Linked DNA regions of Solanum lycopersicum. The main gene of each other region encodes a partner of the protein of the gene in region 2 in a complex. Links are inferred from orthologs where the notes say so. Each region holds a gene or a part of one and is shown on either strand. Other genes may lie near its edges.

Region 1 (3,996 bases), on a different chromosome or scaffold from region 2:
ATGTATAAATAATATAATTTTCCGCCGAACGAGGTTGGGATGAACCTAACTATAAGGTGGCTCTGCCATTGAATACGATACATTATGTGACAATACATAACAATTATTCAAACAAAGTGGAAGACTTCAAAGGATTATTGAACATTTTATCTACAAGTGTATTGTCTCTATGAAGTAGAGAGACCAGCAACAGAATCTAATGGTATATCTCTAAATCTGAACCAATCAATAACATGAAAACTGAATTGGACAACTTACCTGGTGATTGATGTCTCTAACGAAGAAGAAGAAACTCCAATTAGAAGGATATTGAATGAGAAGGAAAAATGAAAAAAATTGAAGTGAATTTAAAGCCAAAAAAGAAAGGGTTATTGAAGATTTACGTGTTTCACGGGTTGACCCGTTTTAAAGGACTGTTTGGTGTGGCTGCTTGTTAGAGTCGCGCTGGCTTTCACGGTTTTCTTTTGGGTTAGTTTACTCCAAAACTACACTTTTTGACCATTTTGTATTTGGCCTCCTCTTTTCTTTTTTTTCCTCTTTATTCGATTCGAGTTAATTATTCTAACATATTTTATGTTATTGCGATTCATAGATGATATTGATATACATTATAATATTATGATATATTGATTTATTTTACGAGTTTTGATCACTTTATCAAAAAAGAAAGACTTCATTTTAAAGGGAGTGAAGGGTATTTAAAAGTGGAGTCGTAAATATTCTAGGTCCCTTCTTAGCCGCTGAATCACTATAATTTCTGGTTTCGTTAAACCTTTTACCATCCATTGTATCACAATCATCTTAAGGATAGAGAACCAAGTTTATTTTTTTCTTTGAATAAAATGTCCAGACATAGAATAATCATTTGAGTAAGCATTGTTGTTACAATATAATCTCATTGTTAGAAATATATCCTATCTAAAATTATCCAAAAATTGTACTCCAATCCACAAATAACATATAATTCAGAAATTTTAGGCTATTGTTGCAATTATATCGGCCTAAATTAGCCTGAAATTAGTCCAAATAATTAAACAATAACCTAAAGTATAGTCCCAACACTAAAGTTTGCTAAGTTAATTTTTGGTGGATATTCGATAGTTTATAAAGTTTAGTATCATGATCCGTCACTTTTAAAGTCGAAATCCGTGATATTAGGCTATCATTTAAATAGATTTACCCAACCCCAAAAAATCCGGGTCGGGTTATATTGTGTCGGATCTTTTTTTCTTATCTAGACTTTGATGAAGAACACAACACAATGACAGAGAAGCTCTGAGTTTCCCCTTAGCTGTTGAAAATGATGTTATCAATGGCTACACAGCTTACTGTGAATTGGGTTCCTGCGTTTTCTTCTCAAAACCAATTTTTTTCACCCAAATTTGTCTTCTTTACAAAGGGGCAGTCTTTTTCTCGACGTTCTAATGTCTCAGCAATCGTACCCAGAAGAAATCTTGGGGGTTTTGCTACTTCAGCTGCGGCTGCCTTGAGTTTTGCTGAAGAAACATCGACCCGTGATTCTATTTCCTCAGATTCTCTTCAAAAAGAGGTAATTTTCACTCTCTGACTTCCCTCTTAGGTGTTGTTTGGTAGAGTGTGTATAAGTATCAGTAATGCTGCGATTATTTCCTATCCATTGTTTGGTTTCTGTTTGTTAACCAACCAACACCTGCACAACTGGCCCTTGTTTTCGGGGGCGAGCTTAGTGCACCAGGCTGTGGACAGTACATGGTCCAGAGGGAGCTTAGTGCATCGCGCTGCCCGTTATAATCCTTTAGTTTTTTGTTGAATTGTGGGAAGTGAACCATCCTCTTAATGTTAAAAGATTTTGCATCCAAGGGTGTGTCTTAATTGTCAATAGAACTAGAATGAAAAAGATTACAATGGAAGACCATGTAATAATCCACCAGAGGCACTATGAAGAATAATATGTAGTTTCTTCCGATTTGGGGATCGCCTGGAAATTGGAATACTAATTTTAAAAAAGAAAAGTTGTAAGCTTAGGAATAATGGGGCAGATTTATTTATAGGAAAAGGGCCAATTTTTCTCTTGAACTATTTGAAATAAGATTACTTTGTTGTCCGTTTCGGTTTTTGGCACAAAAATACCTTTGCCATTAGCTGGCTTGATAAATCACATTCTTACTATGCTATCATCTTTTAAGTTGATCAAAGTGTAAGTTTGTATTCAGTTATATCATAACATTCAATCTCTCCGTACTAGCGTAAAGTAGATATTCGAGTTAACTTTATACTATGGGAACGTTATTAGTATCTTTTTTCAGTTGACAGGAAAAAGGTCTTTCTCGTAAAAGATAGCATTAATTTGTGAAGATTTGCTATCAAGAACAAGTTCTTAATACCTAATCAATATTCATTAATGACCAAGCAAATAAATTTGTTTTCGTTAGGGATGATATATAAAATGTTAAACATGACCAGATGCCTCATTGGTTCCAAAATTTTGTGGGTGATATTGACTTTGTTTAAGGACTGGAGGATAACTTTGTCCCTTTTCCATCTGAGTGGGACAACCGTTAGTGAGTAGGGAAATTTTGAGCCACTTGGCTAACAGCGATGGCATTTTTGTTTCATAAAACGAAATGGAGGACATAATTGTCCTATTTCAAAAATTTAAAAAGCAAAATTGGTCTTTTATCTTTATTTTTATTATGTCTGAAAGGCTGCAACAGATCTCCACGGGTTTGATTAGTTTTCTTTTCCGATTCTTTTTTCTTGAACCAAGTTGATGGATGACGGTTCAAACCAGTGCATCTGTCGTTTTAATACGATGTTGGGTGAATGTCTCATTTAGTTGTTTAACCTGTTAAAAAAAATTGTTTTTATTTATTTTGTTATGTATGCAACACGTCTCCTCGGCTCTGTTTCTTTCTTGGACCAAATTGATGGCTGGTTCTTCGTACCAATGCATCTGTGTACTTTAATACTATGCTGCGTGAATGTCTCAAGACATTTATAAGTTCAATGGTTAGAGACGAACTGCTTTGATTTACATAGTTATGTCTGCAATATCTTTATTTTGGTGTTTGATTCTCATTTTATTTAGTTTTTTAAGAATTTCATAATATTTGCACCATTTTCATTATGGTGTTTGGCTCTTACAATCTGCTGGATGTACAGAAGCTCGGTGTGTTGGTCAAGCCACTGGAGAAACCTAGGCTAGTGTTGAAGTTTATTTGGATGGAGAAGAACATCGGAATTTCACTAGACCAGGTAATTCCTGGTCATGGCACGATTCCGTTGAGCCCCTACTATTTTTGGCCTAGAAAAGATGCTTGGGAGGAACTTAAAGTCATGCTCGAGAGTAAACCATGGATATCCCAGAAACAGGCAATTATTCTTCTTAATCAGGCCACGGATATCATCAATTTGTGGCAACAGAGTGGTGGTGATTTAGCCTAAGCCTTCATAGAACAAGATTTGTCATGCTGCCACTGTTCATCATTTATCTTTAGCAATCATGCCTGTTATGTTGTAACTTTTTTCACTTGAAAGGTCAGTCAAAACTTATTCAATTTGTTTGTTTAGATTTTCCTCTTGTTTCCTTTAGTTTTTGGATCATATTGTAAACTATATATCTTAAAATGTTAGCCTTGGTTCTTCATGAATATTAACATCTAACAGAAACAAAATTAAATTGTACTGATGGTAGGAATTTATCTATGTTGAGTATCGCACGTCGTGGGGATAGTACGCTCATTTGGTCTCTTTATATAGTCTTGGCTAATCCTTCTCCATTTGCTAGGTCCAAGATTCATTTCTCATCAAAGGTATCTAATCCAGACCCATCGCAATTCATCGTTTTCGATGTTGGCCCCATCATATATTGTTAAAGTGTCCCTCATTGGTTGGGATAGGGTCATTTGGTATCCTTATATGGTCTTGGACTATCCCTTTAATGAGTTAAGTTTTGGGGTTGAATTAGGCTAGTGATTTATATTTCTTACCATATAGCTTGGGGTTGAACAACGACAA
Region 2 (4,230 bases):
CTTGAGCAGAATGTAATGGCAACTTTCAGTAATATAAAAGAATGTTACAAATTGATACTGTTTTGCTGTGAAAAGGACTGTCATGACTTAAACATCTGAAAGGCGCGATGAGGAAAACTTGCCTGCTCTCTGTTATCGTCTTTTACAACTGAACAGATACACAAATTAAACTAACCAACCAAACTAGTATTTTCTTTTCCTAATCTTGAAAGTGGACGACCGGATAACATCATCATCAGCTACCAATGTTGCCTCAAGAGCTACAATGGATTCAGGTTTAGTAAAATAAGTGAACAGGAGGTAGATACCGTCCAAGTACGTATTTGTCTCTCCAGCTTTGTTTTTCCTCCTAATGCTGTATGCAAGTGGAATAACCCCTCGGTTGAAGACTTCCACATACATACCACCACCAGCAACCAGCAACTGCCCAAGAGAAAGAAAAACAAAAGATTATAACTTGCATCGTCAAATAGCATGTACAACTGAAATTGATCGGAGACAATATTAGTTAGAACTGTTCAATCCATAACAGAGTTACTATAAGTCTATTATGTACTTTTAGATGAGATGGTCAAGTATAATTTTAATATTTCCCTTCACGTGTGGACTTGTGTAAATCCTTTTTTGATAATGTGTGGCAATGAGAGCCTGATCCGATACCATGTTGAAGAGAGTTTCTTTGGTTGGTTAGACGGAGTATCTGACAAAGAGAAACACAAAACATGGGAAACATTGGCACTTACAAGTGTGTCTATTTGATTGACCTGTTAGGCAAAAGCTGAAACGCAGTAAATGTTGGAACAAACATAGAACAAAGACACGTGTGCTGATGCTTAACTTTTTTCTCTCTTCAAGCTTATCAGGGATTTAACTAAGTGAAAGTTTCCCCAATCATTTGTAGGTGAAAGATGACAGATAGTTTAATCAACTTTAAGTCCTTTCATACTCAGTGCAATCCCACATGCGGGATATGGGGATGTTGGTGGGTACGCAGCCTTGCCCCTACCTAGTAAAGGTATAGAGCTATTCCAAATAGACCCTCGGCTCAAGTGAAACAAAACAACAATCAGTAAGAAACGGAAATACAGTAGTAAACGGGTCATGTAGAAAATAGAGTTTCATCAACTTTAAGTACTTCTATTATTGTCCTCCGCAGCTTTGCAAGCCTATTTTTCTTATAGACGTCGACTATAACATCAAAAATGAGATGGGCAAACAAAAATACAATGATCATCCATGTTCACAAAGAAGAATGATAAGGTGATAATAGTCATCAGACCAAGGCTTTTGGACTCGAAAAGCAGATAGAGAAAAAGAACAAGATTAAAAATGAAAGCTCTTACATGGGAACAAGAAGAATGAAAATTGTAGCAGAAGCTGAGACTAACTTTCTTCTTACTTAGATCATGTCCATGTCAGCTTAAATTATAACAAAATGTTGAATTATGCACCCAAACACTGTTGACTGTTGTTAGGTTCAAATATCTGATTTTTCCAAAGAATGGCCTTCTAGTGAGTAGACAAAAAAACAAAAAGGAAGAATATTCTTGGACAATCTTGTGCTTAAATAAATTGCAAGGTCGATATTGCTTTTGCTTTCAGGTTTCCGCCTCTTAGCAGACAAAGAAAGAAAAAAAACAGTTTTTTTAGCCAAGAGAGGGGAATGGAAGAAATTCTCATCATGTCAAACCAAATATCAATCACTTGTTCTGTTTCCTAAATGATCTCCCTGTTTCAAATGAGTATAATTATCTTCATTTCCCAGTTCACAATGAAATCAGCTGAAGAGTATCAAATGATACTATATGCAGCTCAACTTCTGATAAAAATACTTACTCCTTCAGTCCTAATGTGTGGCAACCTTCACTTCTCATTCATGAACTATGACAAACATATTAAAAATTTATTCTTTGCCTTCAGCATAGATACTAAGAAAATTACAATAACAACAACAAAAAAACAGTGAAACATCACAAGAGGGGTCTGTGGGTAGAGTATACGCAGACCATACACCTATATATTGGAGGTAAAGAGGCTGTTTCCGGAGAACACTCGGGATACTAAGAGAATTATAATACTTTCTCATACAAAAGGAATTAGTCTAGTTCAATTTATCTCCAAAAGTCAATCAAATTGACCCTAAATAAGCAAAATGCGCCAAACAAAATGGAAAGAAACAGTATATTAGTTTCAAAAATTCAATCTTTAGAACTCTCAACTTCAACTCTAATGCTCAAACAGTCAAATCAGCAATTGAAAACTTAGAATCCACCCAAATTGAGCTTAGCACCTTGCAAGTTATATCAGTTTCCAAAAACAAAAACAATCATTGTTACCTCTTCGTATTTCTGGGTAAGAGCAAGTCTTTCATCTTCAGACATATCAGGTCTCAATACCACCATTGTTTCATAAGGGCGTAACCCAGGTGGACACTGCGGTTCCTCTTTATCTTCAACTGCAGAAATACCCGACCATGGTGTAGTCGGTGGTTCATCAGCATTTCCTCCTCCAAATCCACCCTCGAAAAACGAGCCCGAAAATTCTAGAGTTTGGGCTTTCAAGATTTGCCCAGAATTGTTGACCCTTTTGGTGAAACCTTTGAAGTTGAAGGGTATTGAAGGTTTAGAAGAAGAGAGAGTGGAGGTAAGAGATGGAAGTACTGATGGAGAAGAAGAAGAAGACGCCATTCTTGAGGGAGATAAAGTGGATAAGAAAGAGGAAATTCACAATTTTCAGTTCTGAGTTGGTAAAATTGTACAAGTGAAATTTATTGCTTTTTTTTTGTTTAGATACCCTCAAGACTTGTAAATGCTACTTTACTCCTTTCTTTTTATTTTTTTCTTGCAAAATTTAAGTCATGGATTAAATTTGATTTATTTTTAATTAATTGAAAGTGATGGTTAATTGTTCTATCACTTAATTTTCATATAATATGAAATTGTATTGGTATTTCATGTTTTACGGTAATATTCGTCTAAAAATACTTTAATCCTCTTTAAAAGAATTAATCAATTCAAGATTAAATGTGTTTAGTTCGATATTATAAGGATCAAAATCAAAATTAACCAAGTTAAAGTGACTATAAGAGGCCATATTTATTTATTTATTGGCAGTTTGTGTTCCCTCTTAACTATAGTATAAGGAGGTAGAAGTAAGCAAAGTTTTGAATAAATAATTTGGTGAAGATCTCCTAATGAACAAAGAATCTATTGTAATGTATTTAGCATAACAAAAACATAGCACTTTCTATATGTTAAATCAAATTGCATTGTTCGAGTTATGTTTGTTGAATCGAGAATTGTGATCTTGTACATGATTATGTTGTTGGCAATGTACTTGACGAATGACTAATTGAATATATCAATTGGATCTTCCATTTATGAAAATAGAAGATAAAAAGGATAATTGGAAGTTTGCAATAGAAGTGGAAGCAGGTGTATATATTAAGTATATATCCACAAAACAAAGATATTGGCTTATGAGTTATGACATGAGCCCAACACCCAAAACAGGGTAATAGTTTACTGGGTTAGAAGAATTTACATGAGCAGCAAGGTGTATCCTTCACAAGGCATGCATACACATCACCCTCCCCAAACCTGATGGGATCACACTGGGTATGCTGTTTTTTGTTGCTAGAAAGATCAAAATCCAGTCTCTTTTGACCCCTCATCACTCTCCTAGAAGCATTCAGTATTCAGAACTACTATCTATATCTATACTAGTAATAGGTCTTACATCAGTATCTACAAAAAACGGGTTCTTTCTCCTACACATGGTTAATAGGTAGAAGTAAAAGAGCGAAAAAACTGAGCAAGAGTAGCCAAGAGGCCATTATGATTCGAACTTGTCACACTGAAGATCAAATATTTAGCATTTCCGTCCACTTAGCTATTCTGTGAAGGGGGTATACAAGTTCTAGGCTGGCACATCTTTAACAAGCTTAGAAACTGGCAGTCGATATATGAAACTACATAACAAAGGTACAGGTTTTTCTAACAATGAAAGGTTAAAGTTAAAGACACGGGCTTTACTCATTATCATTACAATCTTAACTACAAGACTCCCTTTCATCACAAGAATTGGTTCACATTAAAACAACATCCTGATAAGCAAATGCTAAGCAGAGATGGACAGTATTCCACATGTACTCAAAAAACTGCAGAAAGTCAAAACTACTATGCATAGGTAGTTGAACTGATGACCTATTTTACAACAGTTGTTCATGAA
Region 3 (3,360 bases), on a different chromosome or scaffold from region 2:
ACTTGGTGACCCAAACAAAAGAAGTTTTTTTGTGACTGGATTTGCTCACTCACATCTTGACTAATTCTTCGAGGTAAAGGTTACCTCCAACCAGCACAGATATGGAGTAATTCTATCCACGAAGGTCTAAATAAGAACCACCTAGGGGTCATTTGGTAGGATGTATTAGCTATGACATTTTTTGATCCTTTCTTTGTTCGAGGCCAAAGTGCCCTTGATAATATATCAAACCAAATAGTGGGTAGGAAATAGCTCCAACATAACTAATCCCAGCATTAGTAATACACTATATATTACTATTCTTATACACTCTACAAAAAGACCTCCTAATGTGTTTGTCTCCGCTAGTATATGAACCTAAAACCTCGTGGTTTTCAACCCATAAGGAATGTGGGGTTCTCTAAGCTTTTCACTTTTCTCAATAGCTAAAGTAGTGACTATTACCACTTGTCTACTGAAGGTTGCTAGAACCAAAATGCATAATTTAACAGGACACAAGAGCATTTAAACGAAGACCCTTCAAGCAAACTAGAAATCTCAGTCCAAATGATTAACTTAATCGATATTTCAATGAAATAAACAAAGTAGTAGAAGATTAGAGCTACATAAAAATGAAATTGCTCCTCCGAGAAAACTATGGGTCATGTATTTCAATTTTAACGACTTGGCCATCATCAAATGGATCTCTCTTTGGTGCTGCTGGTGGTGCTGCAACCCTAGGTGGTCCTCTTCCCTTCTTCTTGTTCCTTGGCCTTGCCTAAACCAATTCATACCATCGGAATCAGTTCAAAATAACAACAAAAAATGTCGAAACAACTGTTGTTTTTTCACTATTTCTGTCAAATCTAACGAACATAAATTGTTAAACGTATGATGATAACACTCTAAACTTCAAAGTACTAAAAATTGGTTAGAGCATATTTAACAGACTATTTTGAATCTATCATCAACATTGGTGGTTAACGAAGAGGGTCGAGAATCATGAGGTTTCAGGTTCAAATTCTATCAGAGACAAAATAACACTAGGTAATTTATCCCATCTATTGATAAAATTAGTCGAGATGCATCTAGGTTGCAATCAAAAATAAACTTCAAAACTTTTTAGGGGTCAATTCGTCTAAATGTATGAACAATTGAATCTCAGTATAAAATTCTATAATATTAAAAGCATTAAACTCCTGCATTAATTATGCAAAACCTTATGCACCAATAATCTTATTCCAAGTGAATCTATAAATCATTTTATATGGAATTAACATTCATTTAATCAAATATGAGTTAAAAAATTATTCATATTAAGTAATTTGTGTTGATATCTTATTTATCAATTTCAACAAAACACATACTTCTCTTTTCTAAAATTTAAAGGCATAAATACATTAAATATCTCATGGAATTATTTATTCATCTTCGATACACTCGTTATTTTAAGCCAATACCTTTAACTCAAATATGCAATAAATTTAATCTCAAATTCTATTTCGAGATTATTATTCTTATTCCACGTATCAAACTAGAATGTTAGTGTAGGATTCTCCTAATATAGAGGAGGTAAGTGTTTGTTTATAAAATATACAGGGGTGTATCTGAAACTAAATCATATTAAGGAGGTCTTATCCTGCAATAAACCAAAATATACAAACTCACATTGCCAAAGGAGTGATTGAACCGCTTGCCTTTCGCCGTCTTCTTATCACCTCTACCGCAGTAAACTGAAAATGAAATCAAATCAAAATTTCAATTTCTCGAACTGAAACTTCAATCATCACAAAATTTTCACAAACAATAAATTCGAAAAGGTATGTGATTCGTACCCAATGGGAGATTTGAATCAGTGAGAGACGAAAACGAAATTGATGGTGAAGGAGATGCCGCCGTAATTGAAACGCTGCCGGCGACGGAGTGAGAACGAGAGAATGATAAATTAGGAGAAAGAGAAGCCATGGATTGAACAGTACTCATAGGAACTGAACCAACTAACAACGACGCCATTGCAGCAGCTCAACTGATAGAATTGAGATTTTATTTGTGGTGGTTCTATAGCTTCTTATTCTGTTTCTAGATAATGTGCCCTTTGTCTTTTTTTTATTCAAATACCCCTGAATTAAGGTAAAATTCACTTATTTTTCCTTGTTTTTTTTTTTTAAAAAAAAAAACGTTAAGAGTTACTTGGATGGTAAATACCATTCATTTTAAACTTTAAAATTGTGAATTCAAGTTATCAGAAGATCAATTATTTTTTATGTAAAAGTATATCAAGCAATAAACTGAGACCTGAAAAGGATTGTTTGGAACGAGAAATAAGGAATAATAGTGTTATCTCAAACTCTATCTGTTCCTATTTAGTTGTCCATTTTAGAAATGACAAACATATTAATATAGCAATAATTAGAATAGTGAAGTTACAATTTTGCCCTTATTAATTATGATTTCGAAAAAGATGAATTAAAACTTAAAAATTTTCAGGAAGCTTAAATAAGAATATAATAAGAAAAAAAATTATCTTTTTTTATGTGTGAAAATAGACAAATAAATTGCAAAATGAGACGGAGGGAGTATAAATATAGTTAGATTTCATCACATACATAAAGAAATTTTAACATATATAATAATTAAGAGAAGTAATGAGATAATAGTACACCTCTATGACAGACTACTTGTCTACATTAACAAAGATATTTATTCAAAATTACTTGTCAAATTAAAAAATTAATTCTATTTTTTTCCATTTTGCACCTTAAATCGACTCTTTTTGATTAAAAATATAAATATTGTAAAGTTCCTCTTTTGTTATTAACAGATAAAGACACAAAAAATAGAATTTATGAAAAATAATTATAACAGTAAATTAGTAAAAAAATAAATATTTTTAATATTTCTTAAAAGACAAGAAAAAAGAAAAAAATGTACGTTGATATACAATGTAGGAAGTAACACAATGATTAATCATACAAGACATTCCCAATTGATTATAATTTTTTTTTTACCAAACTCACTCAAAAATACAAAAATATATTAATAACAAGTCAGTCAAAAGATGAAATACCCTACTCTACAAAAATTTGAGAACTCAATTCACTTATTATCGACCACAAAATTGACCTCGAACTATGACAGTACAGATTCATATAGTCGACCTCAACTTGTTTGGTACTGAACCGTAGATGTTGTTGTTGGTGGTGGTGAACAGCTCCCATGCAAATCACTCTACTCAATCTAGACACAGAAAATCAAGAACAAATAATATAGCCATTTCCCTACAGAAAAAAAACACAATAGATCGATCATTCACGTTAGTATTTATTCAAATATGTGATTTAAATCGACGTCTTGAGGAACTTCTTCTCCACTCTGTAGTTA
Region 4 (3,476 bases), on a different chromosome or scaffold from region 2:
AGAGAAGTTACCTTCAGTGTTATCTGCTTTAGGAGCCATGGATTGGAGAATTCACAGAGCGCGGGAAAAAAAACTTCTGTCAAAATTTCTGTACTTCGAATTCACAGGAAACATTGGGCACGAAGGCCTTTATACGATGTCGTAGTTGAACATCGCGGGAACTTACCCTTAGTATAGCCACTAATTACGAAAAGAGGATTCTTCCATCGCAAGTTTCAAGTGAGAGTTGCCATAGAGCCCATGGGCCTTGTTAGGATGAACCAACCCAACTAGAGAGACTTTACGGGCTTTTAGTTCATAATAAAGTCCAAATATAACGGGCGGTGGAAGATGAACAATCGCTAAAAAATATATTGAATTAAAAGAAAACAAAATCGGCCATGGTTTCAATTTTGTGCGTATAAAACTTGTTGATACTATCTTCATTTCACCTATCTTATTAAATTATTCACAAATTTTGATTATCTTATCGTCCAGTCAGAACACATTAAACAATTTAAAAAATGAAACAAAAATGATTCCAATTGTATTCTCCATCAACTATAGTACAGTTAAAAATAAGATAAAACAAAAACAGAAAGTTGAAACAATTTGTCTACAAATAAATACCAAAAACAACAATTAGGTCAAATTTCCACCACTCTGCTGCCACAAATTGATAATATCAGTAGCTTGATTAAGCAAAATAATCATTTGCTTTTGTGATATCCATGGCTTACTCTCTAGTGTTGTTTTCAACTCTTCCCATGCATCTTTTCTAGGCCAAAAAAAATATGGACTTAATGGTACACTTCCATGGTCTGGTAAAACTTGATCAAGGCCAAGTCCAATATTTTTCTCCATCCATATGAATTTTAGCACTAGCCTTGGCTTCTCAATTACCTTTTTCTTCATATCAACTTTCTGAAAAAAATATATCCAAGAATTCACTATAAGATATCAAAACATAATATCCTATCCTTTTTTGGGCTTATTATTTATATAGTCGTACGTATCTGGAATGAATTATGTGCATTCAACTGAACTTCTTATTTTCATCTTTAATAATGTAGACGTTTCAATACGAGTTTGAGTATTTGACACGGGTGGAAGTCAGAGATTGGATTTTGTCATAGGCGTATCTAGCTAGGATGAGTTAAATGTGTTCAAGTGTTCAACTGAATCTGTTATTTTTGGGTCAATATGTACATACATTATGTTGTTTTGGTACGGGTGCAAGTATATGACACAAATGTTTGATCTAGAGGTTGAATTCATCATCACTAAAATTTTAGGGCTCGAGGGTACGAATTGATATATCTAGTTTTTGTCGAAACATAACTTATATTTATAGGTAATGCTATAATTTAACTCCATTTTTGTTCTGTTTTTAGCTAAATGATCAATATATTTCCCCAATTATGCCTTTTTTTTATTAATTAAAACATTCATAAATTTGCTAGTTATTACTCATTTTCATTAAGAAGTTGTTGGACTACCATTTCATATTTAGAAAAGTCGAACAACACAGTACGTGTTAAATAATCATAGTAAAAGTGAATTCAAAGACTTAAAAATTCTAGATTTGTCGTATATATCAAATGATTCTAAAATATTACTATATTATCCTTTGAATATAAATTTGATGCTTTGGAAAATGTATTATATATTGAATAGTAGTATTCAATATCAAGGGTTTTCATGTTTTTCAAATTGGACAAGTATTGTTAGACGACTATTTTTAATATAATGACCAAGTAAAGATGGATTGAGGGAGTATTTACATTCTTAAATTACGTATCAAGTCAAAATCAGACAAAGATTACTCAATTTTACTAGTGAGAAGTAACACTACCATTCATGAAATTAATTGAGTAGCGCAAAAACTAATCTAGACACTAAGTTATCGAAAAAAGTTACCTAATTGAAAATTAAAGAGCTGATTTTTTACCTCAATTTCTTGAACAACAGACTCTGAAGTCTCAACTTCAACTGATTCTGCTTCTGCAACTGCTGAAGCAAAAATCTTATGAATTCTTCTTGTTGATAAACCTTTGTTGTTAAAAGATAATGAAGAACATGATTTGAAGGATTTATAACCTGGATTTTGTGAAGGTAAAGAAGGGATACTCAAATTGCCTTTCAAGCTAGATTGAACAGACATTGATAACATTTTTTGTGTAGATAAAAAAAATATTTGTCTAGTGATGAAAAAAAGTGAAGTGGGAAAATTGTGGCCTTAAAAAGAGTGTGTATAGAGAATTTGAGATAATGATAGAATGGATAAGGTAATAGAAGAAAAAAAATGAAAGTTGTTTAAATTGGGCTAAGAGGCCTATGGGTGAGGACTTTGGTCATGTTATGGGATTTGGGCCCAAAAGAAATATGATCATTAGTTATCATAGCTTTACTAATTTTGTATATTTAGCAACGTTGAGTTGATTCGGGATGTCAAACGAGCGGATTGAACAATTTTTTGAGAGTTAAAGTTGTGTTGATAAACGAGTGGTATCGATTTGTTTGAAGATTATAAATTTGAGATAAGATGGGTTAGTATTTTGTCGTAGTCTAATATGTTCAACTTTTATCAAGTTTACAATTCTTAGTAGACAAAACTTATGAGTATCAGATTTTTATAGATTAATTTTGTCATCCCTAATCAAATTGATCAATATTATCTGATTATTCAAAAAAAAGTAGAATGTATCTCATGGGTGAAGATTGTTCGTGCTTCTCAAATGTTACGTACTTTTTTAGGTCATTAGTCAGCAACTCTCTCGACAATGACTTCACATTACTTTTTTAACACGTCTATCATTATTATTTTTAGAAAATCATTTTTTGAGATAGATGTTGCGCCTTGAACATGTGGATGAGTGTGATATATGTATGCCTCTTTGACTATTCGTGAAATTAAATCTCTAATATTAACAAAAGAGGGGCATATTAAGAATGTCCTAGAGCTACATTCTTTCTTATTGGTATTAATAAAAAGCCATCTTTTTAATAAGATCTGAAAAAAAATTGAAAATGAAGTTCATATATCATAAATATTTTTCTTTCAATGTCATTTTCTACATAATTAGTAAAAGAGACGACTTTTGATATATATGTCCATGCGTACTACTCATTCAAGTTTATGAAGAAAAAACATTACTTGAGCTGAATTTTATGATATTGACAAAATCATATAATAAAAAAATAATAATATTAATATTAGTCATATTAATTATGAAGTGATCAAAATGAGTTGCAAATTTGAAGAAACCACTAATTCAATTCATACTTATAATTTGCCCTTTACATACACAAAAAAGTATATTTTTATGATCAATGTGACGCTTGGTTTTATTTTTCCTAAGAGCTAATATTGGGCTAGAGGTGTCGTATCCCGGAAGAACGGAGATTGATGATGATATCGTACATTGCATAATTGAAATGGACTGGATAAAATGAAGGTTCGTACTAGGGTACTATGTGATAAGGATGTGTTGTCA
Region 5 (3,669 bases), on a different chromosome or scaffold from region 2:
CGTGTAAATTGATCTGAACATCATCACTATTGAAAAACAGAAGTCATGGTCTTCAAGAAACCTGAGAAAAGTGAACCTTCTTGAGTACTAAAGGGGTGGGACTTAACTTTCATGCTCATGCATGTGACAAAAAGGTGCCACAAACTCTATGCTTTTAGTTAATTCTCAAAATGACCTAACGAGTCATTACATTAACAATGCTATGACTCAAATTGTAAAACTTTGGTATCACATTAATGCAAATACTTGGCCCAAACACATTACTGAACTTGAAGCTTAAACCAAGGCTCATAGATAGGGACTGCACTTCATAGGTCGTTACATCAACAATTATTATGACACCTAACGTAACTTAACAAACCTTTCTCCTGTCAACCAAATCATCCAATCAGAATAACGTAAATTCGCAATTACTCCACATGAAACACATTTAACAAGATTTAAGGAAGAGATTATGCCTAAGCATCAACATTCTTCTTGAAAAGCTCTTATCTTGAAATGTAGAAAAATGATTTCAATGGAAAAAACTGTTTATAACAAACAAATGCACAGTTTGCCATAGGAATATAGAGTGTAACTTTTACAAGTTAGTTACCAAAAGAAATGAAAAATCGATCTTGATTTAACGAGGTGCCTTCTTCTTCCCTGCAATTGCTACTTTCTTGCCCTTCAAAGTACGGCAATTGTTCTTTGTTCGTTGTCCTCTGCAAGGCAATCCTTGGATGTGCCTTACTCCTCTATAGCACTGAATCTCCTTCAACCTCCTAATGGCAAGAGCATTGAATCTCCTCTGATGCCAACACCACAAGTATGTAATCAATTTTCCCGTTTCAAATAGGAAGCCGAAGCATCAATCAAACAAACAACCTTATACACAAGAATCTCAATCAACATTGCCAATTGCTAAACAAGCTATCGATTTCTTCTGAAATACATTTCCATAAGAACTGTTTAATTTGGGATAAGGCTGTGATGCATATAGAAGCCATGATCCTACATACCCACCTAACAATAACTCCCCTTGTTTCGATTTGTTTGTCCGGATTTGACTTGACACAAAGTTTAAGAAAGTAAAGAAGATTTTTCGATCTTCTGGTTTTAATCTCAAGATATGTAGAATGCAGTTTCAGCTCAAATATGGTTCTTTCCATGTAAAAGTTGGACCAAAGATTGGTTTAAGATATTGTTTTTTTGGTTCAATTCCTATCTTGAGACAAAATGAATTAAATTTCTTAGAACCCCAAATGGCATTAAGTTAAACTATAGAGCTAAAATAAACAGCAACCACAGCAAAGTTACATGAACTAGATATCGAAATCAAATTACCTAAGCATATAAGTTTCAATAAGGATATGCACATTGGAACGAAAACAAATGAGTACAAATTAGAGCAATGAAACTCACAAGGTCTCCTTCAATCATGTACTTAGAGACTTCTTCACGAAGAGTGATAAGTTCCTCTTCCGACATGTCTTTCATCACTTTGTTCTCCATTTGAAGGTCTACCAGAATCTGGCGTGCAGTGGTGCGGCCAATTCCATGAATGTATTGCAAAGAGAACTCAACTCTTTTGTTGTTTGGAACTTCCACTCCTCCCACACGCACACACTTTATAACCAAACCTGCAGTCTACACAAAACTCATTTCAGTTCAAACTCAAAATCATGGAAAATTTAGCAAAACCCAATTTAATTCCAACTCAAAAAAGTCCAAAAATATGAAAAATAAGCAAACCTCAATTCAATCCCACCTCAAAAAAACGGAAACTTTAGCAAAAAAAACTCATGTTGGGTTACTGAGAAAATTTCGAAAAATCCAAAAACTCATTCCAATTCCTACTCAGGTAAAAAAAAAAGTAATCTTTAGCAAAACCCATGTTTGGTTACTGAGAAAATTGCGAGAAAAAAAAAGACAAACCCCATTCCAATTCCTACACGAAAAAGGTCAAAAAATGTAAACTTCAGCAAACTCCATGTTTGATTACTGCAAATTTCAAGAGAAGGGAGTGAAGTGTACCTTTGGAAAAGATGTGGGAGTAGAAAAAGAGAGGGAACTGTGCTTGGAGATGGAAGATGTGTTGCAGATAAGGGAAAGAGAAGGAAGTACAGGAGTTGCTAGTGTTTGCGCCATTGTTGAAAATCTTGATTGATGAAGAAATTGAAGAAGGAAGAAGATAGAGCCTTTTGCTGGTCTATTTTTCTTATCCTATTGGGGAAAATTGGATAGGGAATGGAGTTCTTCTTTTCGACCTGGTTTGCTAATATGGAGCCCCGGTTGTTCTTTTTTTTTTTTTTTTAAATTTTATTTTATTAATATGGTATTCGGGCTAGTTTTCATGCACTCGACTAAATTCACCGATGTCTATCATACTGTCACCTCCCAATAAGGATGTGGAAAAATCGAATCGATCAATAAACCTATTAAAAAAATGTTATTGGGTTATTGAATTATTGAGTTAATGGATTTTTAACGGATCTATAAAGGGTTTTTGATTAGGTATCAATTTTTAGTATTTGGTTATTGGATGAATCGATAACTCATTAAGACGATAGTAATTTATTACTATGCACTTTATAAATATTATTAATAATTTAACATAACTAGACATTATATCAGTACTCTACACATTTTACACGTCACATTACTTCTATTTTACATCTGAAATTTCATATTATGTTTTGGTTGTAACATGTAATTGTAGCCTTCGTATTACATCTAATTGAAATGAAGAAAATATTAGCTTTACAAAGAAATCTCTACATTTCATTTCTGATATCGCTCTTTTTATCTAAGGCCTAACCTAAATTTGGGGCGATAGAAATGCGAGTTGAAAATAAATTTACATGATCACTTACCAATTGAATAAAAAGAAAATTGATCTTTTAAAATTTTGTAGGCATAAAAATAAAGATCTCTCATGGGCAACAATAAAAAATTCTTATAAACAACATAAGATTAGAAGTGGTTATAAAATAATAAAGCAAGAACAAGAAGAATATTTTAGAGAAAATTAGAGAGAACCTATTTTTAAAGTAAAGAATTTTATAAATTTTAATACTCCATTAATTTAGTAATTTTAATATTATAAGATTATAACTAATAAATTTCATGACTTACTAATCCTATAAATTACATCTTAATGGGTACTTCAAACGATTCTTATGAGTTGTGAGTAATTTACTTTATAAATTCCTAAAAATAAAACACCTTCCAATTGCAAAATCCTACGAATTTGCTAGCAATAACTAATAACTGTTTATGCGGCATTATAAATAGCAACTTAATTGCCACCCATTGAAAAAATTAAAATTTATCCATATTAGATGTTTATCGCAAATAAATAAATGCATAATATGTATATGTATTGAAACATACACAATAATTTTAATTTATGATTAATTAACATGTATTTCTACTTTATTAAATCATTAAATTTAATTTATTTTTAAATATAAATTGTGGCGTAATGATGAAATTGTGTCACCCTTAATCAGATGTTTCACGTTTAAAATCTTAGGTATGAGGAAAGTTTTGCTGGGAGTGCCACTCTTGAATGAGTCCACAATGCGCCGCGATCAGAATTTGTCGGGGCTCTAATTAATTGCAAGTTCAAGCCCTAGGTATCAAGAAAATTTTGTTAGGAACGTCACTCTTGAATAAGTCCGCAGT

What was found.
Region 1: small ribosomal subunit protein bS6c alpha (region 2) and small ribosomal subunit protein cS23-like share a complex: the UniProt entries of both Arabidopsis thaliana proteins name them as parts of the 30S ribosomal subunit. The link is inferred for Solanum lycopersicum from reciprocal best matches to the Arabidopsis thaliana genes AT1G64510 and PSRP3/2.
Region 3: small ribosomal subunit protein bS6c alpha (region 2) and small ribosomal subunit protein bTHXc share a complex: the UniProt entries of both Arabidopsis thaliana proteins name them as parts of the 30S ribosomal subunit. The link is inferred for Solanum lycopersicum from reciprocal best matches to the Arabidopsis thaliana genes AT1G64510 and PSRP4.
Region 4: small ribosomal subunit protein bS6c alpha (region 2) and small ribosomal subunit protein cS23 share a complex: the UniProt entries of both Arabidopsis thaliana proteins name them as parts of the 30S ribosomal subunit. The link is inferred for Solanum lycopersicum from reciprocal best matches to the Arabidopsis thaliana genes AT1G64510 and PSRP3/1.
Region 5: small ribosomal subunit protein bS6c alpha (region 2) and 30S ribosomal protein S13 share a complex: the UniProt entries of both Arabidopsis thaliana proteins name them as parts of the 30S ribosomal subunit. The link is inferred for Solanum lycopersicum from reciprocal best matches to the Arabidopsis thaliana genes AT1G64510 and EMB3137.

The regions. Positions count from the first base shown.
Region 1 is NC_090802.1:7,166,532-7,170,527, forward strand, and holds small ribosomal subunit protein cS23-like, read left to right. Parts: upstream 1-1,193; 5' UTR 1,194-1,300; coding exon 1,301-1,549; intron 1,550-3,141; coding exon 3,142-3,423; 3' UTR 3,424-3,629; downstream 3,630-3,996. UniProt on the Arabidopsis thaliana protein: Component of the chloroplast ribosome (chloro-ribosome), a dedicated translation machinery responsible for the synthesis of chloroplast genome-encoded proteins, including proteins of the transcription and translation machinery and components of the photosynthetic apparatus.
Region 2 is NC_090807.1:67,612,548-67,616,777, forward strand, and holds small ribosomal subunit protein bS6c alpha, read right to left. Parts: upstream 2,803-4,230; 5' UTR 2,688-2,802; coding exon 2,337-2,687; intron 424-2,336; coding exon 184-423; 3' UTR 2-183; downstream 1-1. UniProt on the Arabidopsis thaliana protein: Binds together with bS18 to 16S ribosomal RNA.
Region 3 is NC_090804.1:66,172,213-66,175,572, reverse strand, and holds small ribosomal subunit protein bTHXc, read right to left. Parts: upstream 2,216-3,360; 5' UTR 1,993-2,215; coding exon 1,815-1,992; intron 1,713-1,814; coding exon 1,648-1,712; intron 758-1,647; coding exon 635-757; 3' UTR 504-634; downstream 1-503.
Region 4 is NC_090804.1:4,043,271-4,046,746, forward strand, and holds small ribosomal subunit protein cS23, read right to left. Parts: upstream 2,240-3,476; 5' UTR 2,153-2,239; coding exon 1,931-2,152; intron 904-1,930; coding exon 622-903; 3' UTR 505-621; downstream 1-504. Other genes in the region: homologous-pairing protein 2 homolog, read right to left, coding at 12-39. UniProt on the Arabidopsis thaliana protein: Component of the chloroplast ribosome (chloro-ribosome), a dedicated translation machinery responsible for the synthesis of chloroplast genome-encoded proteins, including proteins of the transcription and translation machinery and components of the photosynthetic apparatus.
Region 5 is NC_090804.1:939,414-943,082, reverse strand, and holds 30S ribosomal protein S13, read right to left. Parts: upstream 2,210-3,669; 5' UTR 2,131-2,209; coding exon 2,017-2,130; intron 1,630-2,016; coding exon 1,405-1,629; intron 791-1,404; coding exon 623-790; 3' UTR 513-622; downstream 1-512. UniProt on the Arabidopsis thaliana protein: Located at the top of the head of the 30S subunit, it contacts several helices of the 16S rRNA.